2 linked regions of the Nothobranchius furzeri genome follow. The protein of the gene in region 2 purifies or fractionates together with the protein of the main gene of each other region. This does not show direct contact. Links are inferred from orthologs where the notes say so. Each region holds a gene or a part of one and is shown on either strand. Other genes may lie near its edges. The genes, in order: med19a and polr2i.

What was found.
Region 1: the proteins of polr2i (region 2) and med19a purify together in Homo sapiens (affinity purification with mass spectrometry; 3 studies listed by BioGRID and IntAct, with this or other methods). This does not show direct contact. The link is inferred for Nothobranchius furzeri from reciprocal best matches to the Homo sapiens genes POLR2I and MED19.

What each region holds. Positions count from the first base shown.
Region 1 is NC_091741.1:91,561,255-91,573,712, reverse strand, and holds the end of med19a (mediator of RNA polymerase II transcription subunit 19-A), read right to left. Parts: intron 10,680-12,458; coding exon 10,546-10,679; intron 10,463-10,545; coding exon 10,366-10,462; intron 10,285-10,365; coding exon 10,190-10,284; intron 6,370-10,189; coding exon 6,304-6,369; 3' UTR 6,039-6,303; downstream 1-6,038. Other genes in the region: slc43a1a (solute carrier family 43 member 1a), read left to right, coding at 1,858-1,978, 3,618-3,797. UniProt on the Homo sapiens protein: Component of the Mediator complex, a coactivator involved in the regulated transcription of nearly all RNA polymerase II-dependent genes.
Region 2 is NC_091753.1:27,221,847-27,235,305, reverse strand, and holds polr2i (DNA-directed RNA polymerase II subunit RPB9), read right to left. Parts: upstream 8,682-13,459; 5' UTR 8,488-8,681; coding exon 8,423-8,487; intron 8,290-8,422; coding exon 8,235-8,289; intron 7,820-8,234; coding exon 7,746-7,819; intron 6,520-7,745; coding exon 6,445-6,519; intron 5,339-6,444; coding exon 5,287-5,338; intron 5,130-5,286; coding exon 5,067-5,129; 3' UTR 4,798-5,066; downstream 1-4,797.

The sequences.
Region 1 (12,458 bases), on a different chromosome or scaffold from region 2:
CTGTTTCATGAAATCTGTAACCAGAACTGGGACATTAGTAAAATGTGAGTCATACTCACCTTAACTTGTCCTCCTTGCTGGTGCTGGTGTTCTACAGCCAGACCTGGGAACTGTCGACCTGGTGAAGGCGTAAACCCAGTCTCCTGATTGACTGAACACCTCATTGACATCAGGGCATTAACCAACTCAGTTTTGTCTGTGCACAGATTATAGCCTATTTCTTTTTGAGATTCTGATTCATTTGCTTCAGATTTCCCAGCTTCCACCCAGCGCTCAAATGCACCATGTATGCACAAATCAGTCAGGTGAGAAGAGTCTCAAAAGGATCTGGCTGGCAAAACTGATCTGTGTGTAATGTAGTTTTGTCCGTGTGTACCAGGTGACTTGTGTTTGGATGTGTAGGAGTTGAAGTTACACACGAAAATGTAAACTCAAGTTACAAATCAAGAGTTACACATGCTTAGATCAATCTACACACACAGATGTAGATACACACAGACAGATCAGACTTTTTTCTCCCCATACCCCTCGCACTGTGTTTCTGTAAAAAGAACCAGATGATCTTGTGCTATGAGCTTCTCGTTGTCACCATCAGGAAAAGGGCTGTTCAGTCCGTCCAAAAGCACACTGGTAATCGAATTAGATATTGCATCTACAACAGGAATAAACAAAAAAAAAAGTTCCAGAATTGCATGTTTTGCATTGATGTATCTCACCACAAGCACAAGCTGAGTTTCTGTAGAGACAAGACGTCTGTGGTTTCAACAGCTTGGATGGCAATAAACTTCGGGATGACCTCCGTTTTAATGACTCCTGATGACCGTCAGCATGCTCTCCCAAAGCTTGTTTTGCACGGCCTTTGATGTGCCTTTAAAAACTGTTGCGTTTTTCAGGTGCTCCTCAAACATCTCATCTCTTGACCCACTAAGCTTCAAAAAATGCAGGTTTTTTTAGCCTTTGCTTTACCTTTAACTCAGACACATCACAAAACTTACGTCTATGAGGCGAGCGAGGAGATGATGTTTCTTGCTCACCTTATCGCTGTGACGGCGGACTGCCAGTCGATAACTTCATCCAACTCAGTGGCAATATTTACTCGGCCAAAAGTTCATAATTTCAGACAACTGTCCATAAGGATCTCAGATGACTTGTGTTTCTTCACTTTTTCAGACAAATGCTGTATGTTAGTGACTCCTGTCCATCAGGTGTTGTCTGCTGTAGCTCCATCCATGCACAAGATACAATCTCCGTGGAAATCCTCGATCATAAGATTTCTCACCTTTAATGGAGACTTGCCTGATGTTTAAATTTGGTCTTGGTGATCCTAATAGTTTTATTGTCGTTTTTCTTCATTGGTACAGCGGTTAAAGGGATTTTCCTTCAGAGAGACAATGAAGTTGCTCGGAGAACTAGCCATGACCATCGGCCATGACTGTTAGCTCAGTTTGTAAAATGTAAGCTAGCTAGGTTTTATGTGACATGTGACAAAAGCACGCAAGCGTGAGCCCTACCAGAACCTATTGAAACTGATGTTAAGAAATAAACTTTTGCATTACAGTCCTTGTGAGCACTCAGGGTGATTCTCAGTCTGACATTGTCCAGAAAGGGGCAAAACATCAAGCAACAAGGCTTAAAACTGATAGGACAAGACAAACAAGCAGACCAAAGTAGTAGATCTGGACTTCATGTTAGAAAAAAGATGTATCTTTCTCCTTTGGTGGTGCATTGCCCGCTTGCCCTAATAATAAACCACCCATGCCTCTGGAATGCCTTCAGCATAAAAACAACCAATTAAACTAAATATAAATATTAACTATTGACTTATTCTTAACATCTTAACTTTTTTCTCCTGGACAGCTACCCATCCAATCACTTTGGGACGCTGACAGGCCTCCAGTCCATGATCAGCGCTGTAGTTGCTCTGTTGCAGCAGCCGCTCTTCATCGTTATGGTTGAACATATCAGCAACACCTACTGGGTGAGGAAATGACTTCATTTCTGCACATTTTACACAACACAGCAAAAAAAAACAAAAACAAAAAAAAACAGAATTCACACACAGAAGATCAAACATGACTTCAGAGTAAACAAACTTGGTGGGGGGTATTAATATTGAGACTTTTTGTGCTCTACATTTTATTTATTTATTTCTACTCTGTATGGAAGGGGATTAGAGCCATGGACAAGAAAAAAAAAGAAAAGAAAGAGAATTCTGACTTTTTCTCAAAATTTTGTTTAATACAAATTTTCTTTTCATGAGGACAATTTAACATCCAGCTTTCCTGAACTTCTTCACATTATCTATCTATCTATCTATCTATCTATCTATCTAAAGAGTTACAGCTACATGTCACACAGGAACTTTTAATTATAATTAATGTAATTTTTTTAAATTCCATCTAGGGGTGGGCAATATCATGTCAATCATAATATTACCAGTTATTTCCTGCCAAGAAAAACAATCTGTCATGTTATGCTAACTTCTTGATGTTATTGCATCCACTAAACAGAGGATTATGTTCATGTTGGTCATCAGCATGAAGTTATTGAAGTTATCAAAGCAAACATGGCTGGAATCAGTTTTACTGTAATCTGTTAATCTGAGTGTGTGTGCTGTTGTAATGAGTGGATGTCCCCACTGTGGGACTAATAAAATTTACTCTATTCTATTCTATTAATTCATATGAGTCAGTAGGAAAAAAAACGTTTGAGGAATTTTGGCCTTTCCAGGTTTCCGTACCAGTAACCTGGTTATGGAGGAGGGGTTCGACTCACAAACAGTAAAAACACACAGGTAAAGTGGTGAGTTAAAACATTAAAACGTTAGGATTCCTAATGTCTTAATTCACTGCGTCACCAACTAATGTAGAGAGGGATCATGTGAGTGAGTCACCACGGTAGGAAGCCCAGCTTGCTGTGAGCGACGATCTGTGGCTGATGAGTGAAAACAAAAGAAAAACATTCTGGACTGAAGCCCCGTCAACACTGGCTGGCGACGCGGCTGCATTTCTAAATAAAGCATGTCATTTTGGTGTTGCTTGCAGCCGCAGCTCACGGTTCTAGGAGAAAGAACCGTGCATGCCCGTCCAATCAACAGCAGGTGGAGCTCACCGCTCCGCCCATCCCACAACCAGAGTAGAAAAAAGCACATCAGCTTGGATTATACAGATGGGATTATGTGTGAAATAACGCCAGTTAAATTATTACTTAAGTGTTGTTGTGTGCATGTTGTTCAGTAGCTAATGCTATAATGAATATCATGGGTTATTTTTTCGTGAGTCCTACACACTGTGCGTGATGCGCGTTTGGGGAGCGCAGGCGCTGGTTTAGCACGAGAGATTGGAGGTGTGGCGTGAGAGCGTGTGAAGAGGGTCAAATGTGTGTGTCTCACGCTCAGTGCGTGAGAGTTGGCAGCCTTGTTAACCGTGCCAAACAGAAAACTAAGAAATCAGCAAGAAATATACCTTATTAGCAGAAAAAAGTACTAATAAAAGTAAAATCCCAAGTTATTATGTGCTTAAATCCCATTTTATCCTTACATAAACTGTTGTATAATTTTTTTTATTGTCCCCTCATAAAAAGGTGAAACCAATTTCTCTGTCCGCTTGCTCTTTCAGATCAACGTTGGGCTGCTGATCTTCTCGTTTTCTGGATTCCTGTTGCCAGGTTACCTGTTTTATCACCGTAGAAACTTGCTGAAGGAGAAGAAGAAACCATCACCCAGTCAGGAGATGGAGACCCTGAAACACAGTGAAGCTAATGGTCACTGTAACGGCTTTACGGCCACCGATGCCTAGGCTCCAGCAGAGCTTCAGACTCTTTTAGTTTGTGCCTTCAGAACGAACACCAGCAGGCCTCTCATGTAAATTCACATTTAGGCAACTCTTTTTATACATAGTTTTTGTTTGTTTTCAAGGTCATTGCTGATGTCCATTTTGCTCATGCTGATCTATGTCATGGAGTTGTTACGGTTCAGTCAGACTTGGGGGGGGGGGCGTGTCATCACCTTTTTGCTGCTGTTTGTGTATTTTATTGTGCTTCAGCTCCATGAGCCAAACTTGTGTCCATTAAAGCCATAGACCTTAATTGCAGAGTGCAGATATCACGGTACTTGAAATACTGATCTGTAGTTTTCTGACAATCCTCACAATCCTGCTGAAACACCAAAGAACATAAGAACGTTTTAGTCAGTATTGTTTCAAAACTTTAACAGGATATAGATTTTTCTGTTAAATTACCTCTGAAAACATGATCCAGATGCTTCTTTAAAACATCTTCATTATCATACACTTATTTCTGAGCCTGTTTTTTCACCCCCACACTCAAAAAAAGTGAATCTACCTCCCCCGTTCCTTTTTTTTTCGTTTGTAATTTTTTAATAGAAAATATAAATTGAAATTTCCTTCAGAGACAAAAGCGATGCAACCCAAACATTTCTGTATTTCTGTTATTTAAATAGGAAGAACATTTTTTTCAGGAAGATGTGATTGAAACCCTTTGTACAGCTTTATGCACAGAAATGAACTAGGGTGTGTATAAAACAATGTATGCAGGTGTATTTTTTATATTCTAGCTGCAGGAGTGTTTAAAAGGGAAGATTATTTTGTAGAGGGCTTGTTGTAAAAGAGCTCAGCTGATTCCGCGTTTTCTGCTTCTGTTGGTCTTAAGCCGGTTTCACACTGCAAGCATCAGCGGAACAGAGCGGCAGCGGAGCGGCTCACTCGCGAACTTCAGAGCGGTCCTCTTCACACCGGGAGAGACTTGGCCGCAGCACGGCTTCCTCGCTACACCTCGCTGTACCCGCGAGATTCTAAAATCCCTAGAGACTTCCGACACCTTCCTCATCGAGAGATCACAACCCCCGCGAGGAATCACACCGTTGCACTTCTAAGAAACTGGTGGTAAACAATGCCGTTCGGTCACATGTACTGACGTAAGTTAGATATCCAACAGCGCAACGTTGCATTTTATTTTGAAAATAACCGGGGATTTTACACTGAAACCGTGTGGTTTCCCGTCTCACACTATGTGAACTGCGGAAATTGACGTGTCCCAGAAGCGACTCGCGGAAAAAATAGAACTCGATCCTATCTTGCGCGGCATGCCGCTTCTGGGACGTGCCTGGAAGTTGTCGCGTCGCGGCTGGTTTGAAACACTCCATAGATTAGATTCTATTTGAAGCGGTGCCGCTTCACTGCCGTTCCGTTCCGCTGATGCTTGAAGTGTGAAACCGGGGTAAGACGTGAACAAACCTTTTGTAAATAGAAGCGAGGTGCGACTCGGATTATTCTGGGTGTGTTCAGGCTGCGGCTCCTCCCGTGTAATTTTACAACAAAAATGAAAACATCTGGCTATGGCGTGCTTTTAGTCAGTTGTAGGAAAACAGAACAGAAGGTAGATGTTGGCTGTACAGATTGTGAGATCAGTTGTAAAATGTTTTTCCAAATATTTTGAAAAGTGCTGTTTGAATCTTTTAGGCTCCTTTAAATGATTTATGTGATGTTTTTGTCTCCATCTCAGCTTTATTGTAAATTTGAGAAAAAAAAAACTTCTGCCAAATTTCTGCCTTTATAAACCAAAGTTGTCTTTTGAGACTGGAATAGCGTTTCACCTCGGGGCGGGACGGCGTGAATATTAAGCAATGAAAACTCAGTTTGATTCCGATTGTTAGTTTGTAAAGTTAACTGGATCTCAGTGGTGACGTTTTCTTGGTAAAACATGCAGGTTTTCTTCAACAACTATCGTTTTTCACTTTTCATCACCCTGGAGTTTGGTTTTTAGACTCAGTTGTTTGTTGGTATTAAGTTGAATTCAAGCATCATTTACTTGGCTTGTATTTGAAGTTTGTATCACATCCAGTATTTCATCCATAGCATTGTGGGTTGAAGCGTTCAGCTACATTTTCATCCTGGCTTTGGTCAGTTCATCTACTCTGTGCTGCATTTGATAAACATAAAAATGTTAAACTGAATGTGTTGTTTGCTGTTACTGTGTTAAACCTAAGGGAGTTCAAATAACCGCAGACACTGAAACACACACAAAGATAATCAAAATTTATTTGATTTTGGCTTTGTGGTCAAAAGATAAACTTAAAGAAATACATACTCTCACTGTTCAATGGTTCATCTGCTTCTTCTGTAATGTCTCATAACATTTACACCCAGTGGCCACAGACTCAGCACACATTCTGCAGCCATCCATTACTTCCATAAAACATACTCTTAATACATTTATCTGTAAAACACACACATGCATCCTCTTACAAAAGTCACACACACACACAAACACACAGTGGGCTTCTGTCTATCTGAGGCTGTTGCTGTTGGGTTGTGATCCAGTGAGGCCCGGGTGGTCTGGACTGTGGCGGTTCTGGAACCGAGAGGAAGAAAAAAGGTTTACATAATAGGTTTTTGAAGACGAGTGTTTAGTTTCTCATAAACTACATGAGTTTAAATATAATCTGATTAAAACACCTGAGACTGCATCCTGAGTGCACATGGGGTTCATTTCTGCAGATATGCACAAGCTACTCCACAAATAAATGTAGGATTTCAGATGTAGATTTTATATAAAATCAATCTTTAACAAAAGAAAAAGTTTATTCCTAGTTAAGAGATTTGTCCCGATGCCCACCCCGGATGAATCCGGGCTGTCTCTAGCCTCTGTGGTATTTTGGTCTTCTACCTACCATCTAGAGAAGGTGGTCCTTATTGACATTTTATTTATTCACATTAGTCTCAGGGAAAAAACTAAAAAAAATTATTATTTTTTTTTACAAGAAGAAGCTGACATTTAGAAACAGGTAAACAGTCTAAAACAGCTCTGGAAGTGAAAGGCAAAATTTAAATGAAGCAACAAAATCTGAAGCTGCAGCAAATTCTTTAATCACTTCCAGAAGCAAGATTGTAAGTTTTATTTTTTTAGGTGAAGAATAAAAGCTTGAAAACCTTATATTTTACTTTGTAATATTGAATTAGCTACTTGAGACCAGAGAAAATATTAGCTTTGTATATTTTAATTAAATAAATACAACACTTGGTTCCCAAAATAAAGTGATTACCAATAAAATTACATTGAAAACATTGATACTTTAAAACCATGATAAAATCACAGAAGTCATCAAAAAGCTTGTTATAAACGCAGTTTAATTCTAATTGATGAAATATGAAACAACTTCTCAAAGCCCATATGTGATTACAGTGAGAGCTGTATTGTGTTAAATAGTGCCCAGCATAAATGAGTACACCCCACTACATTTGTCAGAAAACCTTTAGTTTTCTTTCAGAATCAACATTTCTATGAGATACCAAAAAATACTCCCACAAATGTGGGCCATTGAACAAGATTTGTTTATCTGCACACAAAAAAATGATTTTCCTAACAAATCTGGTCAAGACCATGTTGTAAAAATGAGTACACCCTATTTATAGTCTTAGGAGAAAAGTCACACTGAAGACTACACAATTCTAATTAACAGGCATTCAACCACAGATGAGTCTAATGTCTTATTTAAGAGGTGTCCTGCAGACAGGTGATTATAAAAGGGAATTACTTAAAGGGACTTTACAGAGTTTTGAATTTTTATGCTCGCGATTGCCCCCTCAGGCCAAAAGGTAACGGCAGCTTCAATAGTGGGCTCGTGCACGAGGCGCGCATGCTGTACGTGCACACTCCTTAATGAAAATAGCAGCTGAGACAGTCAGCTCCGTGTGTGTGTGTGTCGGAGAACAGAGGACAGGAGAACGTGCAGCTAATTAATTAAATAATTAGGTTCTGCACCTTTCTCTTCAGCACAGCCGACAAAGGTTTATGATGGGTCAGTCCTCCTGCATGCTCAGATCATTCCCTTCCCTTGCTTGAAAAATTGTTCCAAAATGAAAGTTGAACCCACATCTTTTTTATCTGTGAATTCAATGCTGTTTGGCGAGTCTCAAATAAAAATTTGGGCATCTTACTGTAAAAAATATACCATTAATGTAAAAATGAAACTCTAACTTAACTATGTCCACATCCAGAATCGAACCCGGGTCTTCCGCACGAAAGTCCGACATCTTTCTAGGCGAGCTAAAGCGCCAGTGACATCTTTCATATCTGTACCATTTATATCCTTGATGACAGCTGAAACAACGTTCAAAGAACGGTTCGGAGGGCGATGCCTGAGCGTGAACGCGCACGAAGCAGCCTGCTCGACCCGAGCAGCTCTCTTTTTCTGTGATTTTACAGAAAAACAGGCAATCACAGTAAAAATGCCAGGGCTCATTCTACAGGACCAGGGCATTGCAGGAGAATGTATGAAGAAGAAATTTATTATTTCTATAAATGTTTTGGCTGTCAAACTTCCATAATGCCCCTTTAAAGAAAGCCTTTCCCATTTCATGCTGCCAGCAATGGCTCCACATGGAAGAGAAATGTCATAAAATCTGAGAAAGGAAATAATGTATTTACACATAAAAGGTGAGGGCTACAAGATCAGCCAAGCTTTACATATCAGTCAGAATACTGTAGCAAAAGTGACCAAAAAATGTAAGACCAAAAAATGTAAGAAAGACGAAAGTGCAACCATCTTACAGAGACGTCCAGGCCGTCCATGGAAGTGAACATCTCAAAAGGAGCGTCTTCTGAAGACTGAAGAAAATCACCATTAAAGTTCACTGCAGTTAGTTAAAGCAGTAGAAAGCCAAACTGGAGTGACCGTTTCCCATGACACCATACAACGCACACTGCAGAGGAATGGCATACATGGGTATTGTCTACGAAGGAAGCCTCTCCTAAAGCTCATGCACAAAAAGCACACCTAGGATTTGCTAGGGCCCGTGCTGAAAGAGATGAAGACTACTGGCACTCTGTACTCTGGAGTGATGAGACAAAGATCACAGTTTGTGGAAGTAATGGTTTCAAAACTATGGCGTTGTAAAGGTGAGGATTTCAAAGAGAAATGCATGGTGCCTACAGTGAAACGTGGTGGTGGTGGCAGTGTCCTTATGTGGGGCTGCATGAGTGCTGCTGGTGTTGGGGAGCTGCATTTCATTGATGGCATCATGAACTCAACGATGTCCTGTTCTATACTGAAGGAGAAGATGCAGCCATCACTCCATGCACTTGATCATTGGAGGGGATAATGCAAAGAAGGATTCTCCAGAGAATCAAGAAAATGATGGACAACCCTGAGCATTCTCTTCACAAGACTGTCCGACAACGGAAGAGTGTCTTCAGTCAGAGGCTTCTTCAGTTTGGCTGCAACACTGACCGCTACTGGAGATCCTTCCTGCCAACAGCCATTGTAATATACAATAACTCTTTGATGACTTGATTATTATTATTATTCTGAGCTACTACAGCAATCAATTTCCCTCTGGTATTAATAAAGTATCTTTGAATTGAATTGAATTTGAATCATTGTGCACGTTTCCACCACGACAATGATCCAAAACGCATCTAAAGCTACTGTTGCATTTCTGAAGAAGAACAGGGTGAAGGTGATTGAATGGCCAAGTATGTCTCCTGATCTGAACACCTGTGGGGAATTCTGAAGGTTGAGCATCACTCTCCATCCAGCATCCAGATTATAAAACACGTTATTCTTGAAGAATGGAAAAAGATAGATGTTAATGTTTATGTTTATTTATTTAGCAGACGCTTTTATCCAAAGCGACTTACAATTTATAACCTATAGGGCATGTTGTGATCTGTGGGGGAAACCGGAGTACCCGGAGGAAACCCGAGCATGCATGGGGAGAACACGCAACTCCACGCAGAAATAGCGACAGTGCAACAACTGTGCCACCATGCAGCCCGATGTTGCAATATGTCACCATCTTGTTCATGCCATGCCTAGAAGACTTGATGTAGTAGTTTTTGTTGAGGGGTGTATTCCTTTTTGCTAAAACCAATTTTAGCAAAACTGAAGATTTTGTGATCCAAGTCATATTAATAGCCTTAATTTCATGTTATGGAGTTAAGCAAGTGTTTAATAAAACCCAGCCTTGTTAAAATTCTGGAAAATTTTTTTAGTTCATTGAGCTACTGATTAAATTTGTACTCTTCAAAGGGGGTGTACTCATTAATACTGAGAACTGGATGAAAAAACAAAACTGCTGTGCGACTTATGTCACAATGCTATTCCGAGTCAACATTTTAAATCTTTTTAATGCCCAGCTAGAAACTTAATTAGTGTTTAAAATTTTCTCACCTTCTTTTTTTTCTTGTCTTTCTTCTTTTTCTTGCGGTCAGGATCATCGTCCCTCTTTTTCTTCTTTTTCTTGGGATCAGAGTCTGACGGAGTTTCTAAAATCAGAACAGACGTGTCAGTGTGGTGAAAAACACGTAGCACTTGTTTCAGCTGACCTCACTAACACGCCACCAGACCTTGTGGGAGGGGGTCCTGTGGTCGATTGTGCTTGTGTTTGTGTTTGCTCTTCTTCTTTGGGGGCTGTATGTGCATCAGTCTGTACTGTTCTGGAAGCTGGAAAAAAAAAAAAACACTACATGTTACATAACGGGGATAAGATGATCATTTATTATCAGGCATAATCAGTGTTGTGGTACCGGTCCTGTATGTAGTCTGAATCCTGTGAGCAGAGCACCAGTCAGCGGGCTGAACGAGTTCCCACAAACGGGAGGCTTATCTATCAGAGAGCGCAGAGAGCTGCCGTCCTGAGTGCCCGGACAGTCGATCATACCTGCAACAAAAGAGACACTATAAAAGTGGAAATAAAGAGCGTGGCTGAAAGGGATCCGTGTAATTTACAGGCCATAGTGAGGAGTCCAGGTGAGATTAAAGAGGCTAAAAAAAAACAACAAATCAGAAACAATGAAAGTTAAACTTTTGGTTTTAGAGATACAGCCTCAGCCCTCAAAGTCTAATTCATTAGAGCGCCCAGAAGTCCCAGCACCTGTCAGAATGCAGGTTTAGATTAACTATAGCTTAAGCCACTGGAGTCAAACCCTGGCCCTCGAGAACTGACCTGCCAGTGCATATGTTGCCAATACTACAGATCCCAGAATGCTTTGCTGCATTATCAGCAGCATCCATGCTACCAGTCTCGAGGAGGGTACGGCTGCGGACCTGGAGACCACAGATTCGGTCTCAGACAAACAAAAAAATGACTGCTTAGTTAGCACCCAGCAATTTGCCAACTTTGAAGCCCAAATATCAAGATTTCAACAGCTCAGTAATCTATTTGTGGCCGACGTGAAAAGCGCAGAAAGCAACCTCCAAATGGAGCCAAATGAGCTCCGGTGTAGTAAAACGCTCAAATTTGACTCTGTGGCTTCTGCTCAGTTTCCATCTGATGTGTTTTATTTCAAAGTTAACTGCCCGTGTGTTGTTAATTTTAAACTTTGGTTATTCCAGAGTAACTATTAATGCAAGACTATGGTTTGTTTCCATATAAAACATTCAACAACACAAATCAGAAGATAAAGAAAATTTTAAGCATTTGCATCCATAAACATTTTCCCATGACTTTGTTCTAGTTTCTCCAGTTTGGCCCAGAGTGAATTTCAGTTTGACACCCCTGGCTTAAACGATGACAAATACAGGTAGAAAATCCTGAAAAAGTATAGTATTTTGTCACTTGTTTAAAAAAATTCATCTGACCTATTATGTAAATTAGGGATGCACGGATAACTTTTTTACCACAAGGAAGGGAAACCATAGAAAGTCATTGCTAAAGAAGCATGTCAGTTCCACTTTACTAAGTCCATCAGGGACCGGACAAGTTGCAAGTGTGATATTCTGGCCACAGGGGGCGGTGGGGGTCTGAGTGACATTTTTTTCACCCTAAGGGTCATTTTAGTACATACTGGCTAAAGAAAACGATGTAAAAATATGAAAAAGTTGCAGAGTAAGCCTCAAGTCCAGGTGTGGTGTTGATATCTAATGATTTGGGCTCCATGTCCTCTCCTGGTGTTGGTCCATTGTGTTTTCTGAAGTCCACAGTAAACTCAGAAATTTACCAGGTACAGCTGAGGAAATTAATCAATAATCGATGCATCAAGATGCAGACATTAATTACAAATCATTGAAAAGGCCCACCATGATAAATTATTGTATAATGCAGTTTTTTAACAGCAGCATAAATATTTGATTCTAAAGTTGCTCCAAAGACCTTCAAAGCTATTACATGGCCCCATAACAGATTTTGTCAACTATGGAAGGCAAGAATTGGACATGTCCTGTAGGTTTTCAGTATTTATTAAGATGTTGGTAGCATTTGCAGAGCTTGTTTTTCCCCACAGCCTGAGATGTAAGTGTTGAATGAGAAAACAGATTTTGTTTTCTTCGTTAAATCTTTTTAAATGTTTAAAATGTTTTGCACTCTTACATTGTTCTAAGGACTGTTGTGATTGAAGGGCTTCTTGGGGAATGACATGTTGCGTCAGACACGTTTTGATAGAAAAGCAAATATCTGACATCTTTTATTAATTGATGAAAGTAAACCCATAAGAAATAATCG
Region 2 (13,459 bases):
AATCCCAACCAAATTATTTAAAGATGCATTTCCTTTGGTTACTGCCCCCATTCGAGATATTATCAATCTATCCTTAGTAAATTGATACATACCACGGGATTTTAAGGTTGCTGTAATTAAACCTTCACTTAAGAAGCCTTCTCTGGATCCAGATGACCCAGTGAATTATAGACCAACATCTAACCTTCCATTTTTATCCAAAGTCCTTGAGAAAATAGTGGCCATCCAAGTATGTGAGCATTTAAACACTAATGCTCTGTTTGAGGAATTTCAGTCTGGTTTTAGAGAGTATCACAGCACTGAAACTGCATTAGTGAAAGATACAAATGATATTCTCATGGCCTCAGATAAGAATCTTGTGTCTGTTCTCTTGTTAGATCTCAGAGCTGATTTTGACACAGTTGATCACAATTTTCTTTTAGAAAGGCTTGAACATGTTGTAGGGATCAAAGGAACAGCGCTAGACTGGTTTAAATCCTACCTGTCTGATAGACATAATTTTGTAAACGTACATGACAAATCTTCTTCATACTCCAAGGTTACTTGTGCAGTACCACAGGGTTCAGTGCTTGGACCAATTCTTTTCACTATATATACGCTCCCAATTGGTAAAATCATTAGACAGCATGGGATAAACTTCCACTGTTATGCTGACGATACTCAGTTATATCTATCCATTAACCCCGATGAACCTAATCGGTTAGTTAGTTTACAGGGTTGTCTTGAAGGCGTAAAAAATTGGATGACTCAAAACTTTTTGCTTTTAAATCAAGACAAGACTGAAGTTCTCTTCTTTGGACCTGCAATTCAGAAAAGGAAATTGCTTAGTCAATCATCTACCTGAATGGCATTAATTTAGTCTCCGAGAACAAAGTACGGAACCTTGGCGTTATCTTTGACCAGGACATGTCATTCAAATCCCAGGTTAAACAGGTTTGTAGGATTTTCTTTTTCCACCTTCGGAATATTGCTAAGATTAGAAGCATCCTTTCCAGGACTGATTCTGAAAAACTAGCTCATGCATTTATTACATCAAGACTAGATTACTGTAATTCATTACTCTCAGGAAGTCCACAGAATGTAGTTAAAAGTCTTCAGCTTGTCCAAAATGCTGCAGCTAGAGTTCTGATGAGAATTAAAAAGAGAGATCATATCTCTCCTGTCTTAGCTTCCCTACATTGGCTACCTGTTAAATTCAGAATAGATTTTAAGATCCTCCTTCTCACATATAAAGCTCTTAACAATCAGTCTCCATCATACATCAGTGACCTGATTGTTCCATATGTTCCTAACCGAGCACTTCGCTTTCAGACTGCAGGTTTACTGGTGGTTCCCAGAATATCTAAAAATAGGATGGGAGCCAGATCTTTTAGTTATCAAGCTCCTCTTTTGTGGAACCAACTCCCAGCTTTAGTCCGTGAGGCAGACACCTTGTCTACTTTTAAGACTAGGCTTAAAACATTTTTATTTGATAGGGCCTATGGTTAAAATCTGATGTTAGCCTAAATCTGGACAAGTGGGGGAGTAGAGGGAGGTGGAGTGTACAGTCGGCAAAGACGGCTCTCCCTTGCCCTGCCTCCAACATGCCTTCATCTAAAAGGCTAGGTTATCCAGAGTTATCTCTGTAGTTATGCTGCTATAGGCTTAGACTGCTGGAGGACATACTGGCCACTTTCCACACTCGACTACTTTCTTCTACGATCTGCTCTTTAACTGTATTATTTCCTGCAATTTCAGCAGTTAACTTTATTTTTTCTCAAGTGTTTTTCTCCCCAGAAGAAGCTACAATGATGTTCTGCTGAGCTGTGGTAGCCTCATGGAGAGGGCCATCGTCTTGAACACTGTTGCTAACCATTTAATCATTCTCCCTCTCCTGATAACACTTTACTTTCCTTGACATTGAATGTGCTACTACTAGTTTACCCATTTAATTATAGATTCACTAGGATAAATACAATAAAGTTTATCTCTCACTGTTACAGCTGTTGCTGTTTACCTCAGAAAACAGACACTGCAGAGGACAATCAGTGCATTGCCTCCTCCTCCTACCTGCACAGCTGCACTCACTTGGGCTGATCACCTCCTGAGCAGCATAAAAGGGAGAGCTGCCAGGAGGAAGGGAGAGTTTGCCTACTCCGTTTTGGTTATTTCCAAAAGTGATGATAGATTTTCATATTCACAATGTAATTAAAATACAGAAAGGTGTGGGGAACTGGGATAATGTTGTGGAAGAAAAATTAAATGACGGCGCTCATCAATCATTCATCCCTATATATACTGACGGGTCGAGAGAGTCAGGAAATTTAACAGGGTTTTCTTTCTGGATTCCGAAATTTAGTAAATATCATAAAAGTCGAACATCTAATAATCTATCAGTATATACAGTGGAAATGTTAGCCATTTCATTTAGTTTACAGTGGATAAAACAAAACGGTGTTAGGAAAAGTATTATTTGAACGTCTCCATGTCTGTATTGTTGTCAATTAGAGAAATGTCAGCAGATAAGAGGTCAGATATTTTGTGTGAGATATTCGAGTGCTTGTTTAGGTTGATGAAGACTGATTCAGAGGTTAGATTTATGTGGGTTCCAGCTCACAGTGGAGTAGAGGGTAATGAAATAGCTGATTATTATGCAAAGCAGGCAACAAAACTGGATACTGTGATGGAGGTTCCATACAGTGTTGCAGAGGTGAAATCAGTTATTAGACAGCAGATTCTGGATGGATGGCAAGAACAATGGATAAGGGACGTGAAAGGAAGACATTTATACAAATTAAAGGGAAAGGTTGGAAGAATGGAAATCATTCAAATGAGTAACAGAAATCATGCAGTGGTAACCAGGACGAGAATGGGACATAAAGCTTTGAACAGTACACTTTTTATTCTTGGACGGCATAATGTGTGAATGTGGACTTGATAGGGAAACAGCAGAACATGTATTATGTGCTTGTAGAAAATATGTCGGTAATAGGAAATTGTTGGTTGAAAAATTAAAAGTTAAAGGATATGAGGAATTTGAGCTGGGTATTCTGTTAAATGGGGGACTAGTGGTGTATAAGTTAGTCATAGACTTTTTAAGGGACAGTAGATTACTTGATAGAATTTAGTTTTTTTTCTTTTAAAGGATAATCCCCCACTTCGACTCACACTCCCATTCAGTAGGTGGCGGAAATACACCTGAAAGTTGGTTGCCACCCGCCATTAAACAACAGAAGAAGAAGGGAGAGACTGGATCTGTGCCAGTTCTCTCATGTGCTCCATTTATTGGTGTTTTAATGGCTTTTAAATGGGTTTTAGTTCTTTAAGCTTAGAGAAGCTTAAGAGGTTTTTAACAGACGAGGGACCAGAGTGCTGGTTACCTCTTGGCTCCCAAACTTGTGTTTAAGTCAGTGGAATTTGCTTTGTGAATGTTTGGGAGCATTCGGATGTCTGTTTTAAACGTAAACCCTTGGCCATTTTAACAATGTGTTTAAGTACTTTTAGATTTGGAGCTTTTTGTCATTTTAAAATCCTTTTAATAAAATCAATGTTTACAATTTCCACAACTGAAACACATGCCTCTGTGTTACTCCCCGTCCTTCTCCATATCCACCAATAGAGGACGTAATACAACAAATAGAATATTTACTAAGAAATCACAATGCAACCATAGAAACACTACTTGGTGTGTGTGTGCGTGTGTGTCTGCTCTGTCTTCTCGATCCCCAGTGAGTCATTGAGGATGGCTGTTTATACTGAGCCAGGATCCTCTGGAGGTTTCTTCCTGTTAAAAGGAAGTTTTCCTCTCCACTGTTGCTGCATGCTTGCTTAGTATGAGGATTGCTGTAAAGTCACTGACACTAGTCACTAGTCAGTGACTTGATGCAATTTGCTGGGTTCCTTATGTAGGAAACTTTTTTCTGATTGGCTTAGTGAACTGACCTGTATTGGAAAGTTTATTATGTGAAGTGCCTTGAGACAACGCTTGTCGTGATTTGGCGCTATATAAATAAACTTGAATTAAATTGAATTTCAGAACAGTATTTCAGAGTCATAGGTCTGTCGTATATGTAGACAAAATTTCAGAAGTTTGAGTTCAGCTCATGAATAATAGGAATAAAAACAAAACTGTGTCCCTAATAGTTTTCTGCATAGTTCTGGAACCCAAGTTTTTCATTTTTTGGGGTGGTTTTTAGTGGTTGAAGGATACAATAACAGCTTACTGCCTGTGTTTAAAAACATGTACCTTTTTTATTATTTTTCTTCAAATGATTCTGAGTGTTTGTGCTGCTGTAAGTGAATCACCCCACTGTGGGATGAACAAAGTCTATTCTATTCTAAAAGAGAACCAGTAAAATTTCAGATGCTGACCCGACTCAGGTCTGTTAGTGATGAAACACTCTGAACTGAATTACTCATGAATTAAATGTACAACTTACCCACACGGTTTCAGATATTAGTGAAATTACACCGACATGTTTTCTGGTGTCTGCATGAAAAACTTAAACTAATAAACATGGTCATATTTTAATTATGTGATTAAAAACACGCATTTTCAGTGAAAAAAATTGCATCCAAATTTACCACAAATTCCCATCAGATTGAATGAAACGGAGGAAAATGTGGTAATCCAGAAAGTTACTAAAGTAATTCAGAACTGTAAACATCTTTACTGGACAAATGTTCTCCCCCAACAGCATCCCAGTAGAAACCATTTGTTCCAAGTTTTATCCTGTATTGAAGCAAAATGTGTCCAATAACCAACGAGATTCCTCTTCCGCTTTTTTAGAAAGTAAAACAGTGAACACACGACACATATTCAACTCTAGAGTAGTTTGTCAGTTTATTAAAAAAAGTATTTGCTACTGAGATGATTAGACAAAAATCATGATGAACAAGAAAAATCCTGTTTTCACAAAAGATTGTTGAGTAAAATTTTTTAATAAAAAAAAACCCAACATACATCTGAAACTGACACCTGAACACATCATAATCAGAAAGTGTCTGTTACCAAACAGTCTACAGGTCTCAGACAGACATTTACAATTGGCAGACAGCAATGCTACAGATCCAAATGCTGGAAGCTGTCATTCTGTCCACCGGTGTCCACAGTGAGGCGCTGTGCACACGTAATACAGACGCATGGCATCCTGCACAGAAAAAAAAGATAAATAACGGCACTTTTATTTATCTTTTGCCCTCAGTTAAACAGAAAAACTGCACTGTTTTTTTTATGGTTTTATAACCATCGAACAGATGTAGTTTCCCTGATAGAAAGTGTTTTACAGACATCCAAGAATTTATTACCTCAGCCTTCATGCTGTGGGACTGGAAGAACACTGCCTCCTTGTGGCCACATCTCAAAAATGACAGATGAAAGCCATTGTTAGAAAATTTCCTTCATAGTTTACTGACATTCAGCATAGAAGGAGAGAAAGAAAAACTGTAGAGGACAATGTGTTTTTGTGGTTCTTCGTATGAAAATCAGCATGCTGGAAACAATTTCTCTTATTTTAATCAATAAAATAAACTCGGATGAGATCCTGCGCCTGAGAACGCTGCTTAATAGCTCTGCATGTATAGACATGATGAACAACAAAAAATCAGCAGACAAACAGAAAAAGTATGATAAAAGACAAGGTAAAACCACATTTCCTATCAAAGAACTTAAGAGCAAGTCACCCCCAAATAAACTTTTTTTGCTGATAAACTAAATAAACGAGTGTCTAATCGTGCTGCAGACATGTGTAGTCAATAATTTGGCACTTCAGTGCATCTTAGTTAAAATTTAAATATTCTGCCTAAAACTGTCAGTTCTGTGCCGTTGTCAGGTAAAAACTATGCACTGTATTTGAATTTAAATCTGCCACCGCTATTGGCTAAGAGGTATGCTATGATGTAAACTGGTACATTATGATGTCACAATGCTGTTGTGAACTTGTGTGTGTGTGTGTTTGTTAGCGGCTCCGCCCTCTCGGTCTGCAGGCAACGGCATTTGTTGCATTTTTCAAACATGAAGTGGGAGTGGAGTTTGACTCTGGTAGGGGGTGACTTGCTCTTTAACCTTTTTTCCTGACAGTTTGATGAAGAAATGTGCCCTTTACCTTTTCGCACATATTTTTTCCACAAATATAGTTCATCTGCTGCATAATATAACATTTAGGGTCTGCCAGGTCTCATGGTGCATATGTTTATGATTCTGCATGAGAAAGAACTTATATGTATAAACACACGTTAGCAAGTCAACAAAACAAAGGGTCAGGTTGTTTATGACGGCCACAAACAAGTTAAATGCTAACTCTAAAATGCTGAAACACGTTAATCTGATGGAATCTGCTTTTTACACTATTATTAGTGTAAAGTAAATTTACATTTAGACTTTTGTTTGTGGACAGTCAAGCCCAATAAAACCATTTCCTGTACTGAAGGTTAGAAAACCCCGATTATGCCTGAAAACAAACTTACTTTGGACAGGGGTGATCCTCAGTTCTCGGCAGTGTTGGATCCTGGGCTACATCAGCAATGATTTGTGTCAATTCACTGAAAAGAATAAGATGTTAAGAGTCTATCACCTCACTTTTAATCTAAAAAGATGGACATTTAAAAGTGTATCAGCCATTACATTACAACAGTGTCATTTACAAGGGTGTCAGTGATTTTGCATGACAGATATTTACAAGATTTTTTTTCAGTTATGTGCATAAAAATCACCAGTAGCAGAAAAGTGTAGCACTTCTGGTTCATCCACGTTCAGGCATGACAGGACGTTCTCAATACTTCTACTAAAATAACCAGGTGATGCAGAAACATAAAAGGTTTATAAAGTGGAAAAACCTACAGAATAAAGTTTGTATGAGCCTCCAAGAAAGCTATTTTATAATGACAGTAACACACTTAAATTGTGTCTGGTTGAGACTAGCCTTTAGCTTATCAGTCCGGTGCACCTTATTTTTCTGAACTGAGGCCATTCAGGGAGCTATCTACAACAAGAGAGATAGCGTTTAATTACAAATTCAGCAAAGAAAATCACCTAATACAGACCAAAATATTCTTTTAAATGACAGACTAGTTCATTTGCAATGTTGTTCGCATGTATGATGAACAGTTACTGTCACAGAAAATCCATGAAAACAAATGAAACAGTAAAACAAAATCAAATAAATATATATTTATATTGCTTTAAAAGGTAATGCATACAAAGTACAGTACAGTGTATAAACCAAAAAGGACAATCTTTTCAGAAGACAGATTAAGTCTGTTGTATGTTCTAAATACGTTCAGAGCACCTTAACTTATTGTTGGTTATGTAACCCAAAAGTGTAAAAATACAGTCGTCTGTCTGCCAGCTCACAAACGACCAGGCATTAATAATAAGCCTGACTGCTGTTTTACTCTCATAAGGATACACAGCTTAGTCTACATTTACCATAACTGTGATTTTCCATCTGTTTAGATTTTAGAAATCAACTTCTTGTAAAGCATCTTGCTCGCGTGGAGCCACAAACGTCTACCCTAGTGTGGATGATAAATCCGATGAATTAGTAATTTCTCACAGCTCATATGTGACTGTAAGATTCTCAGTTAAAATAAGTAGGCCATCTCCGGGTGGCAACGAGAGGTTTTATGGAGCATTTGGGGACATTTTTTTCAAAAAGGTTAAGATAAATAAATTTAAGTGACAATAAAAGCATAAGATGGTAAAGTTGGGAGAGGAGTGGCACCACAGGGTGAAGCTGTGATATGTGGAAACCCTTGTCATTACTTACTCGACTTCATGGGTGATCTTGTTTACGTAGATGCAGCTGTTGTCAGCTTCCTGCTGATAGTCACAGTTTCTACACTGGAGAGTGATAAAATGCACAAAACAATTCATAAAGCAACATGATTAAATGTTCTTTAGTGAATTACATTGTTCAACTGGCATCACACCGAAAAAAACCAATATATTTCGAATAAAGACACTGTCACGCTCTTCATATCCACATTCAATACAATAAAACTTTGTTTTAGAGTCTTTTTAAAATTATAAATGTAATAAAATCCATAAACAACCCATTTCATCCCATGTGAACATCTAAAATCTCAACGAGGTTTAGCGTGTTGACTGGAAAACTTTACAGAAGTAAGAGTTTAAGCTGGAAACTTGTTTATAAACTTGCAATTAACTCTAAACAAGCTCGTGGGTTTTACCGTCAGTCTGAGACGTAACTTTTATTTTCTGAGGTGAGCTAAATGACTTCTAACCAAATACTCACCGCATAGAGAAGGACGCGATTCTCCTTGTCTTCTTTGGGGTACAACATGTTATTACTGGGGAGAACAACGTGGTTAATGTGTTTTTATTAAATTAACAAGAATACTAAAGAAGCTAAATTAGTTAACGCGCACGTACTATTTACAAAATAAGTCAATTTTGTCAAAGATTTACGGTCCCAAAACTCACCATTCTTGACAAAACCGGATGCCTACAAAACCCGGCTCGTAGTTTCCACCGTCTAAATCCATCATAAACAATATTTATTAAAGAAAAGAGATAGAAAAATATTACAAAAGCTTTACTCCGTCACTAGATAAAGCCGCTACAGCTTCTAGTGGAGAGAAAACAGACTGTTTATACTTCCGGGTAACGCCAAGGAAGGATTTGGATGAGTTTGAGACAGTGCCACCTACTGACTGGGAGACAAAATTTTAATTAAAATCTAAACTTTAAATTAAATTAAATTAAATTAAATTAAATTAAATTAAGTTAAATTAAATTAAATTAAATTAAATTAAATTAAATTAAATTAACGAAATACCCAGCCTAAAATTAATACTTTGAGACTGATGACACTAATCCAAACAAGCCTTCAGTCTTCCATACCATGGAGGTAATTTTCACTTTAGAAGTGGAGGGGACAGGGGGGGGGGGGGGGTAATCTTTACAGTATATTCTAATGGGAAACAGGCTTCAACACAAACGGTTGTTTTCCGCTTGGTCCTAGAGCTCAACCAGTGTCAATTTAATATAAAGTAATATTGTTTTTAATGGTAAAAAGTGCAGGGGTCAAAACTTGACTTTGGAAAAAGTTGGGGGACATGTCCCCCCCCCCCCCCCCAATTATGTCCATGTTCCATACATAAATATAATTGTTTTTAAATCCACACACGTTCTCTCTATTCTTTATCATCATTCCTCTCTTTTCTAGGAGAAACCTTCACCTCTCAAGATTTTATTCTGCGTGCCCCCTTCTCTCGCTTCAGATTATTATGTCATCAGGGGACATAATAGTCTATGGAAATTTCTGCCTAATTTAATCTTTCAGCCTCGGTCAGGCTCAGAGCTGATCATGTAAAGTCATAGTAAACAAGAATCTCAGATTTTAACTGAATTGAGTGTTTTATGATTAAATGAATATCATTGTGATTGTGAATACTTTTGTCACTACTGCAAGATTGTTTGAGAGTTTAGGGGAACACTGTAGGCTTGTGGTGGTTTTTTTTTACACCACCACCATGTCCAATTACAACAGCATCAACACCACATAAGTAAACTGCTGTTTGTTGGAAGCATGCAAAGTTAAACCTTCTGAGACCCAAATTTGTATTTGGTGTGATGTAAGATGAAATCAAATAAAAATATCAGCAAATTTAATAAAAAACAGAAATAAAAAGAGAACATTTTTAAATTTAAGTCAATATCAAGTGTCTCTAAATAATGAAAAAAAGGTCTAAGTTGAAGAGAATAAAACATTATAGAACAAGAAGCCAAAGCCTCCATATGTGCATGCAGGGTCTACGAAGGTTAATGCTTTTGCTGTTGTGCTCATTACAAATTATATAAGACGCCATTCTATGGCAAGCCAAATGAGCATTTATTCTGATGCCAAATGAGCATTTATTCTGATATCAGGATATCAGCCAGCATTGTCATGAACATGTAAGCCATTTCTGTCCACTAGTTAACTAGTTAGACATGTTTGTGTCAACTAGTTAAATAGTGACAGCCTAAATGTCAACTAGTTAACTAGTAAGGCCTAAATTCTCTCTAGTTAACTAGTTAAAATGTTTCATATCTTACTAGTTAACTAGTATTGCTCAGTGTGTTCACTAGTTAACTAGTGGACAGATCAATGTCCACTAGTTAACTAGTTAAAACACATTTAGTTTTTACTAGTCAACTAGTAAGGTACAAAAACTTGTACTAGCTGACTACTGAATGTAAAAATCCCACTTGTTAACTTTGCCCAATTTGGCCAGCCGCTTGAGCATTAATTCTGATATCTTGTCAACAGGTCAACTAGTTAACTAGTGAGGGTCAAACTGTACACGCTAGTTAACTAGTGAACACATTTTGACCTTCACTAGTTAACTAGTTGACACAAAAATGGCTCATTAGTTAACTAGTAAAGGCCAAAATGCATACCAGTCAGCTAGTTGAAGGTATTTGTGTCTCACTAGTTAACTAGTCAGGGTCAAAATGAGCCCACCAGTTAACTAGTGGGAGACGGAAATGTTCACTAGTTAACTAGTGAACACATTTTGGCTTCACTAGTTAACTAGGTGACACAAAAATGGCTCACTAGTTAACTAGTAAAGGCCAAAATGCATACCAGTCAGCTAGTTGAAGGTTTTTGTGTCTCACTAGTTAACTAGTGATGGCCAAAATGTGCACACCAGTTAACTAGTGACAGAAGAAATGCCCACTAGTTGACAAGTGAACACATTTTGGCTTCCTAGTTAACTAGGTGACACAAAAATGGCTCACTAGTTAACTAGTAAGGGCTAAAATGCATACCAGTCAGCTAGTTGAAGGTTTTTGTGTCTCACTAGTTAACTAGTGACAGTTCAAAGTGTCCACATGTTCACTAGTGAAGGCAAAACTCCTAACTAGTTAAGTAGTTGGAGTAGGTCAGTGCCACTAGTTAACTAGTGAACCATTAAAAACTCACCAGCTAGCTAGTTGATTGTAGCAGGCTCACTAGTTACCTAGTTGATGCATCCATTGTCCAAACTAGTTAACTAGTGAGGACATAAATGTATACTAGTAAACTAGTTCAAGCCTACATTCACACTAGCTAGCTAGTTGCACAGAATTCTAATTAGGAGGCAGAGAATTTCTCAAATTGAGGCTTTCTATTGGCTCACTATGTTAAAATAAAATATGACAACCAATCACAGTGTGGAATTTTGCAAAATCCCACCCCAAACATTTGCATGTGGCACACAAGTTAACATGCTGGCCAGAGGAACCTCAGCTAGTGAACTAGTAGTGGCTTCAGTGTGACACTTACATGTAAACTTGTGAAGGCGGAACTGCTCACTAGTTAACTAGAGAGGGTACAAATGTCAACTAGTTAACTAGTGAGGTGCAAAATAAGTGTCACTAGTTCACTAGTGGGCCCCAAAACGCCCACAAGTTAACTAGTAAGGTGCGGATATGCTCACTAGTTAACTAGTGAGGTGCAGATTTGCTCACTAGTTAACTAGTGCACCCTTAAGCGCCCACTAGTTAACTAGTAAGGTGCAAAAAAGCATCACTAGTTAACTTGTAAAGTGCAGATATGCTCACTAGTTAACTAGTGGGCCCCAAAAAACCAACTAGTTAACTAGTAGGGTGCGGATTTGCTCACTAGTTAACTAGTGAGGCGCAGATATGCTCACTAGTTAACTAGTGACGTGCGGATTTGCTTACTAGTTAACTAGTGAGGCGCAGATATGCTCACTGGTTAACTAGTGAGGTGCGGATTTGCTCACTAGTTAACTAGTGAGGTGCAGATTTGCTCACTAGTTAACTAGTGAGGTGCGGATTTGCTCACTAGTTAACTAGTGAGGTGCGGATTTGCTCACTAGTTAACTAGTGAGGTGCGGATATGCTCACTAGTTAACTAGTGAGGTGTAGATATGCTCACTAGTTAACTAGTGAGCATATCTGCACCTCACTAGTACCTCACTAGTTAACTAGTGAGCATATCTGCACCTCACTAGTTAACTAGTGAGGTGCGGATTTGCTCACTAGTTAACTAGTTACATCTAAAAACACATACAAGCTGACCATTTTTGTCCACTAGTTAACTAGTGGAACAATTGAAATTTCACCACTTTACATGTGTGGCAGTGCAGCAGCTCACTAGTTAACTAGTGCCTGAAACACAAATTATGCATATTCTAATGAGAAGGCGGGCAGAAGACTCCTGTTGGGTATAAGAATCCCACCCAGTCTAAAACGTATGTGCTGTGGCCTCACAATCACATACTGATGGGTGTCCCTGAGCGCCAAGGCTTGAACTCATTAGTCATGGTTTGAAACCTACTGGTTGGTCGTTGCGGCGGGTTCGAATCCAGCAGATGGCATTCCGCAATTGCTGTAACATTATTTATTTTCTCTTTGTGTTGTAATGTTCAAAGTTTTATTGTTTTACTGCTTTTATTCCCCCCTCCCAAATCAAGTAAAGCACCTTGTTTGGTGTAGTGTAAGGGAGATCAGTTGGCGAGTTCAAGTCCCATTGAGGAGAATTGGAATTTAGTGTGCCAGCAATTTTATTGTAGTTCATTTTTGTTTGGTATTGAAAGTTTGGTATTGAAAAAGGCTATATTAAAAATAATTATATATATATATATATATATATATATATATATATATATATATATATATATATATATATATATATATATATCTATCCATCCATCCATCCATCCACCCATCTTCCCAAGAAATAGATCAAATGACACTGAGGGAAAAAACTGTGGTTATTTTGGAGAGGGTGCTCGCTGCAAAACCACAAAGGCGGAGCTGCACCCCGCCCATTCACGCAAACTCAGCCTAGCCCACTGACTTCCGTTTTTGTTTTCAACTTTATCGCAAACTGACCTGACCCACATGAATTACGGCTGTTACTAGTTTACAGTCGTTAATGCTATGTTCTGTGCTCCAATTAAACAAGATAAATATAACTTGCTACATGACAAAGACTGAATATATCTCGAAATGAAAAGGTTTCTTTTAGCGAATATCTGCCTACAGCTGGTCTAATAAAAGTGGTGTACAACAGCACTTCAGTCTATTGAATGGCTTCTGGTGGTCTAGTGGTAAAATCGTCTGAGATGGTTTTTGCTTTCCCCTCAGCTGTTGCTGGTTCGATTCTCGGTGGGGTCGTCAGCAGTCTATTTAGCCAGCTGATACATTCAATTTGTTTATATTTTAGTTGTAATGTTTATTTTCAGCAAAATATTTATGTCGCTAAAAGTTCTTTGAATTTGGTCATTCCTAAACAGCATTTTAGTTGAAACTCTGCTCACAAATGGACTCACACTGGCTAAATAAACGAATAAATAAATAAAAAAAACACATTATATGTTAAACGGTATACCAGTAAATTGTTGTAAACATAGTACTGGCAAGTGTAGCTAGAAATGAAGAAAAGAGGTTGTAAACTACCTAAAACTTACACTACTGGGAGGCGAAACAGCATGTCAACCTGACTCCATAACCACTACACCA